Cricetulus griseus: one gene and its partners. The protein of the gene in region 5 binds, or shares a complex with, the protein of the main gene of each other region. Links are inferred from orthologs where the notes say so. Each region holds a gene or a part of one and is shown on either strand. Other genes may lie near its edges.

Region 1 (4,257 bases), on a different chromosome or scaffold from region 5:
CTCATGAAACTAAAATGCTTCCGTATAGTAAAGGAAATGTTAACTGGGCAAAGAAACAGGCATACAGAATGGGAGAAAAAAATCTTTACACACTGTGTATCTGACAAAGCATTGGCATCTAGACTATACAAAGAACTAAAATAGTAAGCAATATGAATGGAAAAAACCCAGTTAACAAATGAGCTAATGGAATGAACAGGTGGTTCTCAAAAGATGAAATACAGCTTGACTAAGGGGGCAAAAGCACTTGCCATCAAGCCAGACAACCTTAGTTCCATCCCTAGAACACAAACCATGGAAGAGGACAGACTTCCAAAAGTTGTCTCCTGACTTCCACAAGTGGCAAGGATGCTCCTCACTCTCAAATAAACAAACAAATGGTTAAAAAAAATTACAAATAGCTAAAATCCGTGAAGAAATGCTCCACTTTACTAGCCATCAGAGAAGTGTGAATTAAAGTACATTGAGATTCCACTATATCCCTATTAGAATAGCAGTCATTAAGATAACAAATAACAACAAATGCTCCAAAGAAATTAGATAAAAGGGACCCTTCTACCATTCTGATGGGACTGTAAGCTGGGCTGGCCTCTGGAAAATCAACATTGAGGTTGTTCCAAAAATTAACAATAGATCTACCATGCAACCCAGCTGCAGGTATGCACAGGACTAAGTCAACATATCATGGAGACATTTGCATATCCATAGTTATTCACAAGAGCTAAATTATGGAACCAACCCGACAATTATAAGCAGAGGAATGGATTAGGAAAATGTGGCATTTTACACACACACACACACACACACACACACACACACACACACACACACCAATCACACAAACAGAAATTTTCAGCCACAAAGAAAAGAGTATTTAATTACTTATTTAGATATTCAAAATCTTGCATAAAAAAATAAAATCCACCTGGGCAGTGACAGTACACGCCTTTAGTCCCAGTACTTGGGAGGCAGAGGCAGGTGGATCCCTGTGTTTGAGGCCAGCTGGGTCTACAGATCGAGTTCTAGGACAGCCACGCTACACAGAGAAACCCTGTCTCCAAAAACCAAAACCAACCAACCAACAAAAAAAAAAAAAAAAAAAAAAAAAAAAAAAAAAAAAAAAAAAGAAAAAGAAAGAAAGAAAGAAAGAAAGAAAAGACAATTATTTGCAGGAAAATGGACAAAAACTGAGATAATCATATTAAGTAAACTGAGCCAATCTCAGAAAGACAAATGTCATTTGCTTTTATCATTTGTGGTTCCTAGATTTTATATAGTTACATAAACTGGTGAGTACGGCATGAACGTAGAAGTGAAACTATCTTGAGAGTGGGGGACAAAGGAACTAACAGGAGATCCTCAGCATACCCGAGGTCAGCCCTCTTCCTCCTGCCTTCTGTACCGCCTGTGCCAGGAGAGCAGGAAGTAGACAAGGTCTAGCCTCCAGGTCTGGGTTTCCCTCTGCCTGCCACACACTCCAGAGAAGGGGCTTGGGAGCCAAGTGCCCTTGGTGAAGACCTCGCTCGGGTTTGTTTCTGATAAGGTCAGTTGAACTTTTAAGGGGGAAGGATCATGATTCTAGAACTTTCTAGGTTTCCGTGGGATCTGGAGTCCACATGGCTGTAGAGGGATTCAGGGTTTGAATACTGGAAGGGAAGCCAGGAGCTTTATCTATGTGGGTAGCTGCCCGCTGCCCTCTGTGGGCCTTCTGCCACCCCACCCCACCCGACCCCATAGACGTGCTTCTGGTGTTTCTGGAACACAGCAAGTACAGCCGTCTATTGGAAGGCACCTCCTTGAAGAGAAACCAAAATTTTAAAATTTCAACTGACTTGGCCGCTCCATTTCCTGATCCACTTACCTGCCCCCACATTTTCTGATATACACATGCAAACCCCAAACACAAACACTATCTTAGCGATCTGAATATAAATACACACACACCCACACACCCACACACACACACACACTGCAGTCCACCGAACTACCTCTCCAGCCTATCATTTCTCTTAAAAAAGAAACAGGACCGTCCGGAGAACGAAACAGTAAGGAAGGAGAGATAAAAACTCAGAAATCTGTACTGGCAGCGAGGTTAGACGTCTTACACTTAACGTTTAATTAGAAAATGATGGCGTTGGCTGTATATTTTATTGAGGTTTGACTGCCTTTGCTGGTATGTATGGAACACCTGCCTACAGAGGCTTCGTGGTAGGATCTTGGAGAGGCAGAGCTTGGTTAGAGCCCCACTTCCCGGAGCTCCCTTGCCTGGTGGCAGAGGTGTCACTAACAGTTACACTTGGCCTGAGAGAGCCTTTGGATGACTGTAAACTTTTATCCCTGGAAAGTCCTAGCAAGTTGCATTTTATGCTCCCACCCGGCATATTGGAGGTAGTTCTCTAAGTGGAAATAGTTCTCTAAGTCACGGGAGGAGCGGGCTGTGCCTATTATTCAAGGAAGGATAGTGATTAGACAGTCAACTGAGGCACGTGGCAGAGCCCGAGTGAGCTTCCGCTCTAAGGTAGACTACTCCTTGCTCCTCAATGGTGGGCCAGCCACATTCAAGGAACAGCTTTTTCCCGTTTTTCTTTTTTTCACTTTTAATATTTCTGAAAATTTTGATTATTTGAAAATATGATTATTTGTTTTTCTGTTGCATCTAATAGTAAATAGAATAAAATAGTATATCTTTTTATGAGTGTGTGTGTGTGTGTGTGTGTGTGTGTGTGTGTGTGTGTGTTTTCTTCATGTGCTTTCTATCTGGGGTTTTTGCTGGACTGGAACTCACCAAGCAGCCAGGATAGGTTGGCTGGTATTACAAAAATTCTATGTTTTTATGGTGTGTGCTGTTGAAGCCCTTGAGTGACACATGGGAATCTGAGCCCATGTCAGACTAGGTGATCTAAGTTGTGACTTAAGGCAGTAGTAAAATGAAGTCTTCTTGTAAAATGAATTAAGAGAAATGTTGTATGCTGATATGGATGCTTCTGAACACTTACAAGTCATAACAGACATTTACTTCCATTGAAAGATTATAGGTCATACATATATAAAATATTAAATGCTCTTGTATATTATAGTGTGCAAGCATATTTAATGAGATTATTTGACGGCAATAATAGCACATATACATGATATGACCAACTTCTCAAATTTATTTATACTTACACACTTAGGCAGAAATGTGAATAAATTTCAGCACAAAATGCCAAATGTAAACAGAGAATTATTTCAAAGTGTTAGGATTTAAAAGATTTTTATGCTTTTCTATACTTTCTCTGTGAGGTGTTTCCAGGAACAGAAGAACATAGCAGCAAGCATTATTTAAAAAACACTAACAATGGTAATTTCCTGTGAGTTCAGTCTAGGTCCCATAAAAAAAAAAAAAAAAAAAAAAAAAAAAAAAAAAAAAAAAAAAAAAAAAAAAAAAACGAGACCACAGGTAGTCTCTGTAGTCTCTGTTCTTACAGAGCAGGCAGTCTAGCAGCAGTTTTTTTTTTTTTTTTTTTATGTCTCTTAAATTCCACGAAACTGATTGCTTTTGGGATGCTATGACTAGAAAAACATGTGTGACCTAAACAAAAACAGCCAAATAAGACTGAATGTTGTGGGCCATGGAGTGTCTTAGGAAGCTAAGAAAAGTGCCTGTTAACAGTTAGGACTTGTTTGTTACATTATTGCCAAGGTGATGAAATGAGTGAGTTGTGATGTGCACAGGGCCAGAGGCCAGTCACATTATGTCAAAGCTCACTGTCATAGTGGCCTCAGATAAAAATGGGTGGGTGCTTTTGTTTTGTTTTTCTGTAAGAAAATGCTGTTAAAAAGACATGAACGTGGGAAGGAAACTTGTGAGGAAGAGGGAGGGTGACAAGGATAAACATATGTACACCTATGAAATGGTCAAAGAACATGCTTAACCAATTAAAACAATTACAAGCTTTAAAATAAGAGAAAATATTGTTGAATATGTGACAACTGAAAAGGCTTATTAATGTAATTTCTTGATCTTGTAATATTACTTACAGGAAAATATCCTAAGGACATAGGAGTACATTCAGAAATTTGAACTTTCAAACCATCCTAAATTTAATAAGGCTGAGTCTGGAGAGATGGCTCAGTGGTTAAGAGCACTGACTGGTCTTCCAGAGAACCCAGGTTCAATTTCCAGCACCCACATGGCAGCCCATAACTGTCTGTAACTTCAAGATCTGACACCCTCACACAGACATACATGCAGAGAAAACACCAATGCACATAAAA
Region 2 (4,089 bases), on a different chromosome or scaffold from region 5:
TCCAACTGCAGGAGTTGCTGAAGGCTAGGTGGCCTTGGGTACAGCATCAGCAATGGAGCTGTGAGCCCTCTCTGCTCAGTGGCTCCGAGTGAATCCCTACTGTCATTGTGACAATTGCCTGGATTGTGCCTTTACTATTGCTAGTGTCTACCTCACACCTACCACGTACAAGCCCTATTGGTGAAAAGAAATCAAAAGATAAAGAGAGGATGGCAGAGCTCAGATTTGAAAGCCAAGCCTGAACCTGGACTTGCCCATTGTCAAGATGGCCCTTGAGGGGAGTCTGCTGTGCCCCCAAATGACAGATTACCGAGGGTGGGCTGGGCAGTGGGGTCCTCAGGGATTGCAGGAGCCTCATCTCCAGGAGCATCCCTGCCTAAACACCATGTGGCAGGGGCTGGTGAGTGAACTTTTCCCTCCTTCTTTAGGCGGTAAAGGACTTGGTTGAGTGTTTTCTTGGGCACTTGGCACTCCTTTACCAGCTTGGGGAGCTTCACAGAGCCGCCGGCTCCACTCAGTATCTGTAGGATCGTTTGCTCCAGATTGTCTTGGGGGAGGAACAGAGAGAAGAGTCAAGCCCAGCCCCCATTGGAGGCTAGCACCCATCTCCAGAGGTAAGAAAGATACGAGAACCCAGAGCCGACAGCATCGAGGAATCACTGAGAGGCAAGAGTGTCAGACTGAGTGGACCCTGGCCCCATGGCTGAATGGTGGGATGCACTCATACGGCAGAGGAGTGTACATGCTGTCCTGTGTATTGGTGTGGAACCCCAGACAGGTAGGAGCCCTCAGCTCTCAGATGATGGAGCCAAGCCTGGCCCGGAAGCCCCTCCACGCTGCCTGGTGCCTCTTCCAGCCTGTATGGAGAGTCCCTTTCTCTCCATCTCCCATGGATGCCATGGGCATTCCTAGGTCTCCCTTCCCATTCCAGGTGGATCAGGAGCCCTGAAAACGCAGCTCAGATACCTCCCACTTACTTTTTTCTCCCTTACCCCAGCCTCAATGACATCTTCCTGGTAGCATTACTAGTCTCCCAGGTGACCACCAACTCCAGAATGGTTCCCTCCAGCACCCTCTACCTAGAGATCCGATGGACCTCTGCTCCCTGCCCAGCCTCCTCTGCGCCTGACCCCAAGAGCCACCCAAGTTCCACCTCGTGCTCCTTCTGGTTCCTTCCATCTGCCTGCTTCTACCTTCCTTTGTTTTTCCTCTTGAGACAAGGTCTCACCATATATCTCAGGCTGGCCTGGAACTCACAGCAATCCTCCTGCCTCAGCCACCCCCTCCCCTGCTGGGATTATAGGGCTGGGCTTCCACTCTGCTTGCTTTTTCTCTGCTGGGGCGTGTATGTCCTGCAGTGGGCTCTCCTGCCCTCCCTTCTCCCACTGACTCCTAAGGGCACACAGGCAGAGCTTTCTCCAAAGGGTGAGCATGAAGGAATGGATGGTGGTGACTGGCTGGCAAGGAGAGTATTAGGAAGCCACAGGGACCAGGTGAGGGTTAGTTTCTGGTCTTCTCCACCTGGCCCTGAACCTGCCACTGCCCTGGCTCCTCTGCCTTTGAGCAACATGCCCTAGCATGGTGCGAGAATGGAAAAGGGTGACTTTGGGGGCTGCAGAGATGGCTCAGGAGTTAAGAGCAGTGGCTGCCCTTCCAGAGGTGCTGAGTGTGGCTCCCGGGAACCACGGAGCGGCTCACAATCACCTAGAATGAGACCTGGTGCTTCTTTGACCAGAGCACAGCCGTGCATTCAGGCAAAACACTGTATACACAGTAAATAAGCATATCTTTAAAAAAAGTTTCGAAACAATGAAGAAAAGCAGTAAAGTAAATCCTGTCCACAGCTGCACGGCCCCGATAGCCTCGCCTCATACAGTCTTTCACCCACAGCCTCGCACTGCCCTGTAGCGGAGAGAAGAGCATGAACATAGAATCAGAGCCAAATCTTCTTATCAAAACAAAGTCCCCTCTCACAGTTCAGAGCCTGAAGCCCATCGAAGGCCTCAGTGACCTGTCTGTGAGGTGAGAGCTACCACTTGTGCCTGAGGGCTGTTAGGAACCAGCCTAAGCAAGGGTCAAAGTGTGACGCACAGGGTCCCCGAAGCAAGCTAGCTTCTTGTGGTGCCTGCTTCCTGAGCTCTGATGTCCTCAGAATATTGCTGCTGTCTGGGCCAAGCAAAGAATTAGAAGGAGCCTTAGAAACCAGCCCAGGGTCCACGCTGCGTGGGGGAAGGAAGAGGCTCGCCCGGCTTACCTCCTGTGCTCGGATCAACAGCAGCTTCTGCCATGCTCATGGCAACCTCAGGGCACCTTTGGGGCGGGGGGTGGCAGATTCCCGAACTGTGGCCAGGCCTGAGGCCGTGTCCACAGAAGAAGAGCGGCTTCTTGGAGCTGCAGACACCATATGTTTCCACCCCGGAAACGAGCACCCATCTGGCTCCATCCACCCAGCTTTCTGGAGAAAGAGAAAATGAAACTTGGTGGTTCTCGAAAGAAACGTTGAAATCAGGGTGGGGTGAGCAAGTTGGAGCTGAATAAATGACGGGGATGAGAGGAGTCTTGGCCTCTGGGGTGGGAACTGCCTATCTGGACTCCCACTAGGAAAAAGGTACCTACTGCGCATTCCCTACTTGCTGACAGGGCAGGACTAGTACTGTCATCCACATACCTTCTAGAAAAGGAGCCCCTCACTTTCATACATTCTCAAAGAGGTCAGTGGTCCTCGAACAGTTCGGACATCACTCTGTTCCAATTACAGACTAAGGGACTGAGCTCACAGAGATGGCCTCGTGCCCACAACTCAGCCTACAATAACCCTGAATCTGGGTCCCAGCTGCAGGAGGGAGGTCCTTGGCACCGGTTAGCATTAGTGCATAGGGCATGACAGGAGCAGGAAATGGAGACCAGAAGGAGGTATATATGTACCTGCAAAATGTCTGCAAAGCAAGCTGCAGGTCCCCAGTCAGCCTTGTCACTGGACAGGCCACGGCCAGGCCAGTTCCACACAGCCAGTTCCACCGGCCTGTGCATGGGGAAACTTTAAAATTTCCAAATGATTTTTATGACTTCCAGGGGGAAACCCAGAGCCTGCAGATGCAGCTAAGGGAAACAGAAAATTGTACAGCCCGTTGAGCCCCCCAAATAAATAAGGTCACCCTTTAAACACTCAGCTGAGCCAGTTGAGGGACATCAGGCTCCCTAGAGGGGCTATTTGGGGACCAACCACTAGGTGGTGCCCTCTCATCAACCGGCTCTTGCCTGGGGGTCTTGCTTGGTCCTTGGCCAAGGTGGCTCTGGCCCTAGAGGGCTGGGCTTCAGGACATGCCATGAGAACCTGACACTGGGGTTCTGCTGTGAACATCTCAGCATTCCCTATTCTTTATTGTTTTTAATTTTTGAGACAGGGTCCCACTCTGTAGCCAAGCCTGAATTCAGATTCTTGACCCCTCCATTATCATTTCTTGAGTGGCAGGACTGTATCACAATACCTCTTGGACAACCCCCCACCTCGTCCCCCCAGACAAGGTTTCACTGTGTAGCCCTGCCTATCCTGGAACTCGCTCTGTAGACCAGGTTGGCCTGGAACTCACCGAGATCCGCCTGCCTCTGCCTCCCGAGGGCTGGGATTAAAGGCGTGCTCCACCATTGCCTGGCCAAAATCCTTCTAAACTTTTGGATTATTTCTTATTCTTTGTCTTTGTTTAAGAAAAACCTCAAGCCAATTTTCAATGCTGGGATTATCCCAAGCCTCCACAGCTGTGGACTGGGCAGATGGACCTTTTCCCTCTTGTGCATGACACAAGACTCCAGGTACTCCAGATTTGGTGCAGCCACCCGGCTTCTTTTTAAACTGTTGCTCTGCCATTTGTAGCCTCTGTGCTTAAGTTTTTCAAGGGTTGCTGGAGTTCCACCTGTCACACATGCTCTCCTTCTGGCAGGAAGGAGCAAAGGACGGGTATCCTAGGCAGTTTCAGCAGGCAGCTGAGTACAGGGCCATCTGAGGGAGTCTCGGTTGCAGGGTTGCCCAGGTCTGATTGGCTGTGGATGTGTCTGTGAGAGAATTATCACGGTTGGTGTGAGAGGACCCAG
Region 3 (4,112 bases), on a different chromosome or scaffold from region 5:
AAATCCTCCTTTGGTGGATATTCAATTATTTCTTTCGTGCTTTTATTTTTTTCCCCTTGAATGATTCAAGTTTATGCTGCTGTTTTCTGGCAGGCTGGAGACAGAACCCAGGGCCACACACATGCCAGTCAAGTGCTGTGCTGATGAGCCCCAGTCAACTTATAAGCAGTGTATTTTGAGAAAGCCATGTGGGCAGTGTACTGAGGAAGACCCAAGGACTGCAAAAACACTGAATGTAAGGTAGAAAGCCAGATAATCAGTGCTTTAAAAATTAACTAAGGTATGTTGACCTGTTATAGAAAGCCATAACTAATTTCAACTAATACCATGTCCTTTTCAATGGGATTTGCTAGTGTTTTGGGATAAATGATTATTAATGCAGAAATAGGATATATATATATATATATATATATATATATTAAATAGTATTACATTTGAAAATATATAGTATTTATTTATTTACTATATTATAAATATAGTACTATTTATAAATTATATAAATAGTAAATATACACTATTTGAGTTCAAGCTTACTTAGTGAATTCAAGGTCAGTTAGGACTACACAGTGAGACCTTACCTCAGGAAATGTGTGTGTGTGTGTGTGTGTGTGTGTGTGTGTGTGTGTGTGTGTATACAAACCCCCCCCCAATGGCTGGACTCCCTTTAAACCCAATTAATTTTCTCTTAAATTTGCAATGACAATCATATATAATAAGAGCAGGAGGACAGAGAATCAGGGAATGAGAGAATATCAATTGAGTATTGTTTCCCATGTCTTCCCTAACAGAATTCTGACTTTACTCAGGTATGTGACACGATCAGGAGCCATCTCCAGGATTCTTTAATTAAAACAGTCTGTGCTTCGTCCACAAGCAGGGCAATGAACAAGGAATCAAACCATCAACAAAAGACAAAGTTAGAATAAAATTCAATGAAGCATGATCAAATACATTAGCACACTGTGACCCGTGAACTAATCTTATTAGGACTATTTTCACCTTACAAATAAAGAAACTACAAGTTGAGGTTAAGTGATTCACCTGAAATGAATGGATTCAAACCTTACCCTTCTCAGACTTCCACTCTCAGTTCTCTAATACATGCTGCTTTCTAGAAAGTCAAATAAAAATTTGAAAACCCCAGATGTAGATCAAACCTCAGATGCAAAGACCGAATTGTTGCCAGGCACAGTGATACATGCCTTTAATACCAGCACTAAGGAGGCAGAGGCAGGCAGATTTCTGGGAATTCAAAGCCAGTCTGGTCTTCTACATAGTTAGCTTTAGAATAATAAGAATTACATAAAGAAACCCTGTCTCAGCTGGCGTGGTGGTGCACACCTTTAATCCCAGGACTGAGAGACAGAGGCAGGTGGATGGATCTCAGAGTTCTAAGTTTGAGGCCAACCTGGTTTACAGAGGGAGAACCAGGATAGCGAGGGCTACACAGAGAAACCCCTGTCTTGAAAAACAAAACACACAAAATTAATATTATCCATGTCTTCACAGTAAGACACATATGCCAGAATAATATCCAACCAAAGTGTGGGAAACTATACTTTTTGATTCAATTCCAAGATTCTACTGGTGATATTAACATGTTATGAACTAATAAGTAGTAGAACCATTCCCAGTTTGCAACAGTCATGAAAACTTAACATTATGTACAAGGCTCAAAACAGGAAAGAAAGAGAAAAATGAAAATTAAAGTTGGTAACTGTTACTGCTACTTTTCAGTAATAAAACAAAATAAGTTTCATTTTAAACAAAACTAGTCTTCATTTTTTATATACAGCAAAGCCTTAGTGGTGTCTTCCCAGTGGGTACAAAATTACACGACTAAATCATTACATCTCAAAGTTCACACTGCCATTGAGTTTTCATGAGCTAAGAAAGAATTAATAGCTTTCTAAAGATTGAAGGACTTTTGTGGAATTTCCTGATTAAAACAGCCTCACTCTGCCCCAAATAAATGAGCAAGGAAATCAAAATGACCTACAAGAGGCAAAGAATGAGCCACCCTGGACCGAACCATCCAACCCCAGGAGGCTCTGTCCAACACCGGTGGAGAGGATGTGGCTTATCTTCTTCAGAACCCAGAGGGGGCTGCAGCAATCCACAAAAGCAAACGCCACTGAGGACCAGAGGAGCCTTGGACGTTTGACACTGTTCTCTCACTGAGGACGTGGATCGCTCCTCATTTGCTAGCTCACCTCTGAGATAATGATGAAAGCTACCCATAGCTCTGCAACCCCCTGCGGCCGAAGTACAACGTGGTTGGCAGGTCCAAAACATTTAGGCAACCTTGTTAGAGCACTAACGCTTCCATAACCCATCACCCCTACCAAAAGAATAGTGAAAGAGAAACACCTGTCGCACTGTCACTCCACAACCGTGGTCACGGCGCAGATGTCCACTTTCTGTCGCGACTTGAGCTAAAACCACCTCAAAAAGAGTTCAACCTCCCGCTAGATGACACCCAGCAACTCCCGCGCCTTTCGACTTCCGGGTATGCTGGCGGCCCCGCCCATCACCCGCTTCCGGAAAACGAGGCCCGCCCTCCGGCCCACGCGCTGGAATCCCGCGGTCGCCGCCCCTTCCGGGAAGCCAGCTGCGGAGGAAATGAGCGGCGGACCCTGCCGCGGCCTCCGCGCTGCCTTACCTCAGAGTTACTTTCCTTTTCCGCGGCCAGGCACTCCGGCCCAGGTGAGCACACCGACCCGAGGGCAGGGGCGACAGGAGCTGCGCCTCGCCGTGGCTGCCCAGCCAGGACGGCTCCTGGGCCGTGCGGAGGACGCAGGGACCGAGCTCGGTGCAGGAGTGGCGCCCAGCCGCGCCCAGGCTCACCGGACACCGCGCTTCTCTGAGCGCCCGCGCGGCCCTGCGACCCCCGCGAGGTGAGCGGCACCGACACCCGCGCTCGCGACGCCTCTCCGGGTCCGCTCGTCCTCCTACACCGGAGCTTCGCTGGGTGGGGCGGCGCTAGGCTGCGTCCGCCTCTGTCTCCGCCTCTGCTCACGCCCCGGGGCGGTGAGTGCGGCAGGGCCCGCTGGGCAGTGAGTTCCGCCGATCACGACGGTTCCCACGTCGATCCCGGAGGCCTGCCCGCGGAAACGATGCCAGTTCTGCTTTGCTTTTCGGCTCGTTCTGAGAGAGCCCTTGAAAAGAGGTGCTCCTAGCTGCTCTGTCAGGGCTGAGTCACCCTGGCCAGCTGGAAAACACCGAGTGCGACAGTGGCGATTGAGAGCTGGCAAATGAGCCTTCATCTGCCACGGCGGGCTGTGGAGGACGAAATGTGATTATTTTGTAGCCCTCTGAAATGGTAATTGTGAAATCTCAAGGCCAAAAAAAACAAAAAGTGTTATTACTGGTGTCATTAAGTTGCACGATAATGCAATGATCACTTATTCTCAAAAGATAATTAGTGGAAAGAGAGAGGATTACAAAAGACATGATAAAGAAGTCTTACTAATGCATGCACACAACCACCATCTTAAGAAAATTCACAACCATTTTAACAGAAACCTAAACATGCAGATAACATTAAAAAGATGTTCAATGTCATAGGGCATTATGGGAAACTCACCTTTGACTCAAAGTAAACATAAAATGCCCAACATTCACAAATGGAAGGAATACAGAATGTTACCTTTACGGTTACTGTGTGACTTAGCAGTTTCACACACTGGCATGTACCCAAGTGAACATAAATTTGATGAACAAACACATGTACCTAGGTTGAGCTTTTTTGTTGTTTATTTGGAGGGGCTTGAGGGTGTGTGTGCAAAAGTGCGCATATGTGAAGGCCAGAAGACTACCTCCAGTATCTCCCTCTAAGTACACACCTCTTTTTTTTTTTTTTTTTTTTTTTTTTTTTTTTTTTTTTTTAAAACAGGAAAGGACTCACTTACCTTTCGTTTGTGTAGTAGGCTAAGTATTCTGGTTAGTGAGCCTCAAGAACCTGCCTGTCTTTGCATCTCTGGTCTTGGCATCATGAGTGTCACCATGGCCAGGGTTTTTTTTTTTTTTTTTTTTTTTTTTTTAACACAGGTTCCAGGGATTTGAATTCAGATCCATTATGTTTGCCTGCTTGCTGAAGGAGCCCTGAGCTG
Region 4 (4,058 bases), on a different chromosome or scaffold from region 5:
ACACATTTTGGGTACTTTTGATGTTAATCAAACATATTGGGTTGATGTTATTTGTTTTTGTTTTTAATGTAGCTACTAGAAAAGTTAAATGTTGGGGAGCCCTTTTGAGGGCCTTACCCTGCCTGGGGAGAGATGGGGGGATGGCTAGGGGCAGCTGGGATGTTGGGGGGGGGGAGAAGAAGAAGGGATTGACATGTGAAACAAGCTTGTTCTTAATTTGAACTAATAGAAAAAAAAAGAAAAGTTAAATGTATGTACTTGTTTATATTTCTATTGGTCTCTACTTTCCTGGTACAGAGAATACTTGGGTTAGAATTCCATGTCTTTCCTTTTCTAGCTCTAAGATGGGAATCAAAGGCGTTTTCTAGTTCTTTGATGAAGCCCTGCCTGACAGTCCCTACTGCATAGACTCCACGTGAGATGTGACTGATTTCATAAGCAGGCAATCCATGAAGCATCCCTGACACCTGGTGTGCTCAACATATGCTATTATTATAGTTTGAAGTTTATATTTATCATGCTATGGGGAGAGCAAGAAACTGCAAGAGACTTAAATGTCAGAATTTGTCTCCTTCTTAGGAAAGTCTTGCAGCAAATGTCCATTCCTTCCCGTTAGATTCTAGATGGACGGCAGATGCCTAAAGCCTGTCCTCACGATGAGCTGCTCCACTTCAGGTCACTGCTTGCCGTTGCTTAAGAGTCTCTTCTTAATCACCTTCTTAAGAATCTCTAAAACCCACAGCTAACAGGTGGGTGTCCAGATTTAATTTAGAAAAGCACTCCAGTAAAAAAAAAAAAAAAAAAAAAAAAATGTGGCACCAAGCCAGGAGAGTAATGTGCTCTGACACTGCCTGATTTGTATTTATCTGATGGGGTTGGTTCCCCATCAGTTAAATGTAGATAATAGGAGATAAATGTGAGGATTTAATAAGCAGCATGGCAGATAGAGCTCTATAAGCCACACAGTGCCATGCCTATGCCAATATGCCCTCCTTTGAGACCCACTGCAGCAGGATGGGCCACGCTTCCCCCACGCCCAGAACATACAGTTGCTTCATGGGAGTATCCCTAAGGACCTTCACTCTGCGCTACTTTCCTTGCAAACTTGTCTGTGACTAAACAGCCAACCCCTACGGTGCAAAACCATCTAAAATTCCTTTCTAAAGAAATACAAAAAAAAAAATCAGCACTTATGAAATAAACTAGTAAATCAAGCAGTTGTTCACACATCAGCTCATTCTGTCCAGTCAGGCACCTTGCAAGTCTTTGAGGAAATCAGTCACCAATCAGGTAAGATTTCTTCATTATTATTCTGAAAAGTGTAAATTTACATAGTAGATAGTATGCAATAAGGATGTGGGCTGGGGGTATGTGGTAAGACTCAGATTAGGTGGTCACACTACGTCTCTTTGAGAAGGTAACATTGAAGCAACCTATGAATTACAGAGATGAATAGAAGCAGTGTTTCTAGATTCAGGGGAAGGTACACAGTACTAACGGAACTGGATTGTTCCCTTTAGCTAACTGTATGCAAGTTCACTTCACTGAAGTAGTAAACTTGATCTTACATGATTTCTCCAAAAGCTATCTCAAAAAGGCATTATTCTTTTTTTTAATTAGAAACAAGATTGTTTTACATGTCAATCCCAGTTTCCTCTCCCTCCCCTCCTCCCCTACCATCCCCCCAACCAAAACCCTACCTATCTCATATCCTTTCTCCTCCCCAGGAGGGTGAGGCGTTCCATATCCTTTGGGATAGGGCCTAGGCCCACCCCTGTGGGTCTTGGCTCAGGGAGAATTCCTCTATGTGGATTGGGCTCCCAAAGTCCACACCTATGAAAAAGGCATTATTCTTGACTAATGAAAAATGACTTGTCCCCACAAAATTTATAACATGGGACTTATGAAAACATGACCAGCATAATACACATCACTGCGTAAATACTCTTGAGCATATTTTTTAAAAAGAAGAAAGCAAACATGGATGGGAAATACCATAGGAAAGACGGTCACACAAAAATCCAAGCATTTCAAAGGACAGAATTCACAGAAATTAGACTCCCAGCTTTAAAAAGAATGCTAGGTGGATTAAAACCCACTGTAGGCATTATGGTGTTTACAAAAGACACACTGAGGGTATTATAATACTGAATAACAGGAAAGCAAAGAATGTGAGCATATGTATGAGTCAGACACTAAGCACAAAAAAAAAAAAACAGTTAGGTCAGTTATATTAATATTCGTCAGAGAAGATAATAAGACAAATAGTGTCATTAAGGACAGAGCTGCTATACAATGATTAAACATTAAAGTCACCAAGGCAACATAGAAATTCTAAGCACGTATGCACCTCATTGTTAAAATTAACAGCTCTAAGCAAAACTTGACAGTTCTCCACGAACAAATGACAAACCTACTCTGATAGTTGGAAATTACAAAACACTTCCTTCAGTAACTAAAGTTTCACATAGCCAAAAAAAGCAAAAAAGTAGAAAAGTTGAACAACATAATGTCCTGATAAATACTTAGAAGTACTTAGCACATTTTCAATAAGTCTACAAAGGTTATCAGCGAACTGTTTTCCTTTGTATTCTAATAAAATGTGACAGCCAAAAGCAACACAGGGAAGGAGTGGGTTTATTTTTACTCACAGTCCCAGGAGCGTGGATTTCAACACCACAGGGAAGGCGTAGCAGCCGACAGGGAAGGCATTATGGTTGGTCGCCACGTAGGGCATGAATCTGGCCAATTTCAGTTCTTGCTCATACAGGAAATAGCGGAAGAGTGAGACAGCCTGTCCCAGTGGTACACTTCATCCAATAAGGTTTCTTCAGAAAGTTCCACCTCCTAACACTACCAGAACCTTCCGAACCGCCAGTTGTATATTCAAACAACATAGTTATCATATGAATCATCGCTTTCTAAATTCTAGGAATTTACTATGAAAAGGAAAAATAAGATACAATTTAAATTATAGAAACTTAAAAATTGTTTCTCATACTTAATAAACTAAAAGAAATAGAAATTAAAAAGCATACATAATTTTTAAAAAATAATAAATGCCATGCCACTTGAACATCTGAGATTATGGAATATGTTATCTGTTTAGCATTTCTTTTTTGTTTTGTTTTTGTTGTTTGTTTGTTTGTTTGTTTGTTTTGGTTTTTCAAGACAGGGCTTCTCTGTGTAGCTTTGGAGTCTGTCCTGGAACTTACTATATGTAGACCAGGCTGGCAACAGACTTGCAGACATCCACCTGCCTCTGCCTCCCAAGTGCTGGGATTAAAGGCGTGGGCCACCACCTCTGGGCTATACTTGGCTTTTCTTAAATGGTAAGGTTACTTATAATAGAGTTTGGTGCTCTGCCACTTTCAAGCTAATGTTACATCATAGGCATTCTGCCACACCATTGTTACTATCTTTTATCTAGGAATAGCTCTCCAGTCCCTATGTTTCTTTCTCCTTCAGCTAGAAATCAAAGGCCCTCTTCCAAATATAAATTAAATTCATGTCAGTAAGACACCTACAGACCAAGGCTCCCAGAAAATCAGAGTTCCTTTTTAGGCGCAGTCTGGGTCAACCCTCTGAACAATATATTCTAATTCCTGCCACAGCCAACTGCATGTTCTTTTGTTAAAGGCTCAGTTGTGGTGAAATAATAATAATAATAAAAAAAAAAAGCTTCTATTCCTCAGTCAAGCGAAGGTTTAGAACCAGGCTTCCTGCAGCTTTATTCTTTTCTGGAGCATAGTCAATACTGATGCTCCTTTCCAACCCCAGAAACCTACAACTTCCATTTCCTCTTAATTTGCTATTAGCAAAAGGATCCTAAAGCTTTTTCTAGAAAAATTCTGACAAGGCTTACCTACTGGATTCCCTCTCCACAGCAGCCTCAGTTCTCAACTCAGGGATTAGTATATGCCCTAATAGTTTAAAGCTCTCCCTCACAAAGCTTTTCACTGCTAGTGGTAGGACATGAAAATCAGGTCTTGAGAGATGGAAAGTGGAAAGTGTGATTGGTTCCTTTCACTTAGAAACTTCCCTAGCCCTGGCCGTGT
Region 5 (4,007 bases):
AGAACTCCAAGAGCACACTGCTGCACGCATCACACCATCCCCAGCCACCTGCACCTGTTCAGGCACACTTAGATAGCATTTGCAAAAAATAAACTAGCTTGAGCTTGAGGACGGGGCAGGGAGGACAGCTTAATGGGTAAAGCTCTCATCGTGCAAGCACAAGGACCTGAATTCAAATCCCACAACTCAAGCGAAACTGGGAACAGCAGCCCATGTCTGTGTCCCAGTGTTCCTACAGTAAGATGAAAGGCAGAGACAGGAGAATGCTGGGACATCCACAGGCTAGCTAGCATTGTGCAAACAGCAGAGAACAACAAAGACACCCTATCTCAAACAAGGTGTAAGATGAGGCCAAACCCCCAAGGCTGTCCTCCGACCTCCATACACATGTCATTAAATTCACCCACCCCCATGTACATGGATGTGCACAACATAAATAAATTTTTTAAATAAACAAATAAGCCAAGCATGGTGGCACACACCTTTAATTTCAGCAGAGGCAGGTGGCCCTCTGTAAATCCAGGTTCAGCCTGGTCTATATAGCAAGTTCTGGACCAGCCAGGGCTACATAGAGAGACCCCCCCTCTCTAAGTAAATAAATAAATAAGGGCTAGCTTGGTGGAACAGAACCAGCTTCTAAGCTATTTCCATAAATTGCAAATGCTTGGATTTCCTGGTCTATAGAAAGGTAAATAAGGTTGATGCAAAATTAAAGAAGCCATTATGTGTATGTACCTGGTCCAAGGCAAGCCTTATTAGAAGCACTACCCATGATTCTGGAGAGTTGAGTCTAAGACCATAAAATCTTCATCCTCCCCTCAGCCCACTGTGGTTGGCAAGCTGCGAAGACAAACTCTTGTGCGGAGCACACTCAGTAGTGCCCAGTTACTCCTCAGGTGGAAGCAGTTCTAGCAGGTGCACAGAATGAACAGCCCCAAGTTTCCATTTGCCCCACCCCGGGGGCAGGACCGCAGAAGCGCCCGCCCTTTAACTTTATGAAGGAAGTTGTTCAGTAACTCATTCGAAGTAGGAGAACGACCTGGGAAGCGGAATTCGGGACCTGGACCTCCGTGCCTGGACCAATATAGATCAATCCTTTGCAGGCCCTGTCTTCCTCTAAGCCCAAACCCCGAGCCGAGCGGTAGACGTCCTTCCCGCTCTTTCTGTGCACATAACGCCGCCGCCGCCGGGAAGCCGCTAGCTCCTGATGTCTTCTGACAAGTTATGGTGAGTGGGGAGTGAGCCTTGGATCCTCAGCTCCACAAGGACACTCCGGGACACACTCAGGGGGCGCTTTTGCTTTGCCGGTCCGGGTGGGCCGCGGGGTGTCGGGGGGGGCGGGGTGCTGACACACTTGCCCAGCGGGCAGCCGCGGAGCTCGGGTGACAGAGGATGCGCTGACGTGGAGATGGGCCCCCTTCCGGACGAGAACCTTCTCTCAGGCCCTTTGATGCCTCGGCGGCCTCTCTCGTGTCCCGTGAAGAACTGAAGAACCCGAAGTTTGTAGGCAAAGGCGGTTTCGGTGTAGTATTCCGTGCACATCACAAAAAATGGGGCCATGATGTTGCAGTCAAGATCGTGAACTGGTGAGTGATCCCAGCTGTAGGCAGGATCTGGTCAAGGAGCCTGAAGGGACAAGTAGGGGTGGGGGGTGGGGGGGGAGGTCTTCCAGGGTCCCACCCAACTGTGGCTCCCTTTCGGAGTGTAGGGAGGCGATATCCAGGGAGGTGAAAGCTATGGCGAATCTTCGTAACCAGCACGTGCTGCTCCTGCTGGGGGTCACCGAGAACCTCGAGTGGAACTACGTGTCTGGGCCGGCTCTGGTGACAGGATTCATGGAGAACGGCTCCGTCGCCAGGCTGCTGCAGCCCTGGTGCCCTCGGCCCTGGCCTCTCCTCTGTCGCCTGCTGCAAGAAGTGGTGCTGGGGATGTGTTACCTGCACAGCTTGAACCCAGTGCTCCTGCACCGGGACCTCAAGCCCTCCAATGTCCTGCTGGACTCAGAGCTCCACGCCAAGGTCAGCCCATCTACACCCTAGTGCAAGCTTGGGACCATGCTAAATACCCTCGGTCTGTCCCTCTGAATACCAGACTACGCAGGTCAACCAGGAATTTTATCTATGGCCATACCAGGTGACAGAGCCCTCCTTACCCACCTGGGTCAGTTCCACAGGCCTATTCCACAAAGCCCCCCACCCCCACCCCATGGACCCAGGCTGACTTATCCCAGAAACTCTGACGTACTTAGACCCAGACCCATCAGCAACTTAGATCTCCTCCCTTAGGCCTCATTGACTCTGCCTTTCCCTCTGGCCCTCAATACCACCTTCAAAAAGCTGAGGCTGCATCTTCTGGAGGAGACAGAGGGAAGATTCTGGAGAAGGACTGGCCCCCTTCATCTAATGCCTCCCTCTTCCTTTCCTTTACAGCTAGCAGATTTTGGACTGTCCACATTTCAGGGAGGGTCACAGTCAGGGTCAGGGTCCAGGAATACAGGGGGTACCCTAGCTTACTTGGCCCCAGAGCTATTGGTTAATGTCAACCGGAAGGCTTCCCCAGCCAGTGACGTCTACAGGTAAGCTACCCACTCCAAAACATCCCAAATTATTTCTACGCTTCTTTGAGCCCTTCTAAAGGATGTGATACGGGAAAGTGATCTTGCCGTGGGCCAGCTAAGCCTCCATTTTGTGTCTGTGCAGCTTTGGGATCCTCATGTGGGCAGTGCTGGCTGGAAGAGAAGCCGAGTGTAAGACTCTAGATGGACTCTGATACTCTTTCACCCTTATCTACTCAGCTGCCCCCTTCCCACCTCACCCCTTCCTTAGATGGCACTCCCTGCTCCTGTCCATGATATGTCTCCTCATACCACCAACCCCTTCTGTTATCACCGCCCCCCCCACTCCAGTGGTAGACCAGACATCACTAGTTCGTGACGCAATCTGTGAAAGGCACAATCGACCAGCATTGTCAGAACTGCCTCCACACAGCCCTGAGACTCCTGGCTTGGAAGTACTGAAGGAGTTAATGATACATTGCTGGAGTCCTGAGCCCAAGGACAGGCCATCCTTCCAGGGTGAGTTGGCTGTTTCTCTAGCAGCTAGAATAGGCTTGAATAGGCAGGAAGCTTCACCCAAGGAAAGCTCTGCTCTCCTACAACTCACTTGGCTGTCTTTCAGATTGCCGACCAAAAACCAATGATACCTACATCCTGGTACAGGACAAGGTAGATGCTGCTGTCTCCGAGGTAAGTTTTCAAAACTGCCTTTCCGCCCAGGAGCTATTCAGCAATGGCACATGTGGCTCCCTTGACCGTCCAATGTGTCTTCACTGCCCTTGTTTTTTAATTCTTGGCCATCATTCTTGCCCACCCCAACCTACCTCTGAGTCTCCCTCCAGGTAACAGATTAGAAATCAAGAGGATACTCCCCTGGGGCTTACTCTGGCTCCCCTAACTCCCATCTGTGCAGGTAAAGCAGTATCTGTCTCGGCGGCGCAGAAACAGCGACACTAAGTTGTCTGTCCTAGAGCCAGGCCCTAGCGGTGCAGAAATGGATAGCCCTGGGGAAAGCACAGTTTCTGAAATGCTGGACCATCTGCAGCTGGAGGGGTCCCCCAGGCCGGTTCCTGAAAAGGGCACACACCTTACTGAGAGGGGAAGAACCCAGGAAGAACCAACTGGGCATGCCACAGCAGCAGTGACATCTTCAGATACAGTGGCTGGAACTCCCCAGATGCCACATACTATACCCTTCAGAGGCCCAACACCCGGCCCAAACTCTGCCGAGACCCCAGGTCCTAACCCCCAAAGGAATGAGGTGAGACACTGGCAAGACCAAGGAAAACTTAGGGTTGAGGGGTGCACAGTGATGGAACTAGCCTCTTGAATAGAAAGCCTGAGAACTCTGTGCTGTTTGCAGGGATATGAAAGATATGGCACCCAATGGTCCTCCAGGGCCCCAGGGCCAAATCCAGCAGCAGGTACCTGTTCTTCACCCTCTATTGCTCCC

The links. The genes of interacting proteins can lie anywhere in the genome.
Region 1: Ripk3 (region 5) and Casp8 share a complex: the UniProt entries of both Homo sapiens proteins name them as parts of the AIM2 PANoptosome complex. The link is inferred for Cricetulus griseus from reciprocal best matches to the Homo sapiens genes RIPK3 and CASP8.
Region 2: Ripk3 (region 5) and Zbp1 share a complex: the UniProt entries of both Homo sapiens proteins name them as parts of the AIM2 PANoptosome complex. The link is inferred for Cricetulus griseus from reciprocal best matches to the Homo sapiens genes RIPK3 and ZBP1.
Region 3: Ripk3 (region 5) and Ripk1 share a complex: the UniProt entries of both Homo sapiens proteins name them as parts of the AIM2 PANoptosome complex. The link is inferred for Cricetulus griseus from reciprocal best matches to the Homo sapiens genes RIPK3 and RIPK1.
Region 4: Ripk3 (region 5) and interferon-inducible protein AIM2 share a complex: the UniProt entries of both Homo sapiens proteins name them as parts of the AIM2 PANoptosome complex. The link is inferred for Cricetulus griseus from reciprocal best matches to the Homo sapiens genes RIPK3 and AIM2.

What each region holds. Positions count from the first base shown.
Region 1 is NC_048595.1:413,109,832-413,114,088, forward strand, and holds the start of Casp8 (caspase-8), read left to right. Parts: upstream 1-1,457; 5' UTR 1,458-1,543; intron 1,544-4,257. UniProt on the Homo sapiens protein: Thiol protease that plays a key role in programmed cell death by acting as a molecular switch for apoptosis, necroptosis and pyroptosis, and is required to prevent tissue damage during embryonic development and adulthood.
Region 2 is NC_048599.1:6,098,758-6,102,846, reverse strand, and holds the start of Zbp1 (Z-DNA-binding protein 1), read right to left. Parts: upstream 2,801-4,089; 5' UTR 2,669-2,800; intron 2,456-2,668; 5' UTR 2,295-2,455; coding exon 2,255-2,294; intron 548-2,254; coding exon 311-547; intron 1-310.
Region 3 is NC_048596.1:253,842,802-253,846,913, reverse strand, and holds the start of Ripk1 (receptor-interacting serine/threonine-protein kinase 1), read right to left. Parts: upstream 2,801-4,112; 5' UTR 2,663-2,800; intron 2,526-2,662; exon of another isoform or gene 2,371-2,525; intron 1-2,370. UniProt on the Homo sapiens protein: Serine-threonine kinase which is a key regulator of TNF-mediated apoptosis, necroptosis and inflammatory pathways.
Region 4 is NC_048598.1:19,572,058-19,576,115, forward strand, and holds the start of interferon-inducible protein AIM2, read right to left. Parts: upstream 2,801-4,058; 5' UTR 2,652-2,800; intron 1,720-2,651; exon of another isoform or gene 1,701-1,719; intron 1-1,700. UniProt on the Homo sapiens protein: Sensor component of the AIM2 inflammasome, which mediates inflammasome activation in response to the presence of double-stranded DNA (dsDNA) in the cytosol, leading to subsequent pyroptosis.
Region 5 is NW_023276807.1:210,982,377-210,986,383, reverse strand, and holds the start of Ripk3 (receptor-interacting serine/threonine-protein kinase 3), read left to right. Parts: upstream 1-1,207; coding exon 1,208-1,227; intron 1,228-1,442; coding exon 1,443-1,586; intron 1,587-1,708; coding exon 1,709-2,018; intron 2,019-2,429; coding exon 2,430-2,575; intron 2,576-2,699; coding exon 2,700-2,746; intron 2,747-2,905; coding exon 2,906-3,073; intron 3,074-3,176; coding exon 3,177-3,244; intron 3,245-3,467; coding exon 3,468-3,815; intron 3,816-3,917; coding exon 3,918-3,978; intron 3,979-4,007. UniProt on the Homo sapiens protein: Serine/threonine-protein kinase that activates necroptosis and apoptosis, two parallel forms of cell death. Necroptosis, a programmed cell death process in response to death-inducing TNF-alpha family members, is triggered by RIPK3 following activation by ZBP1.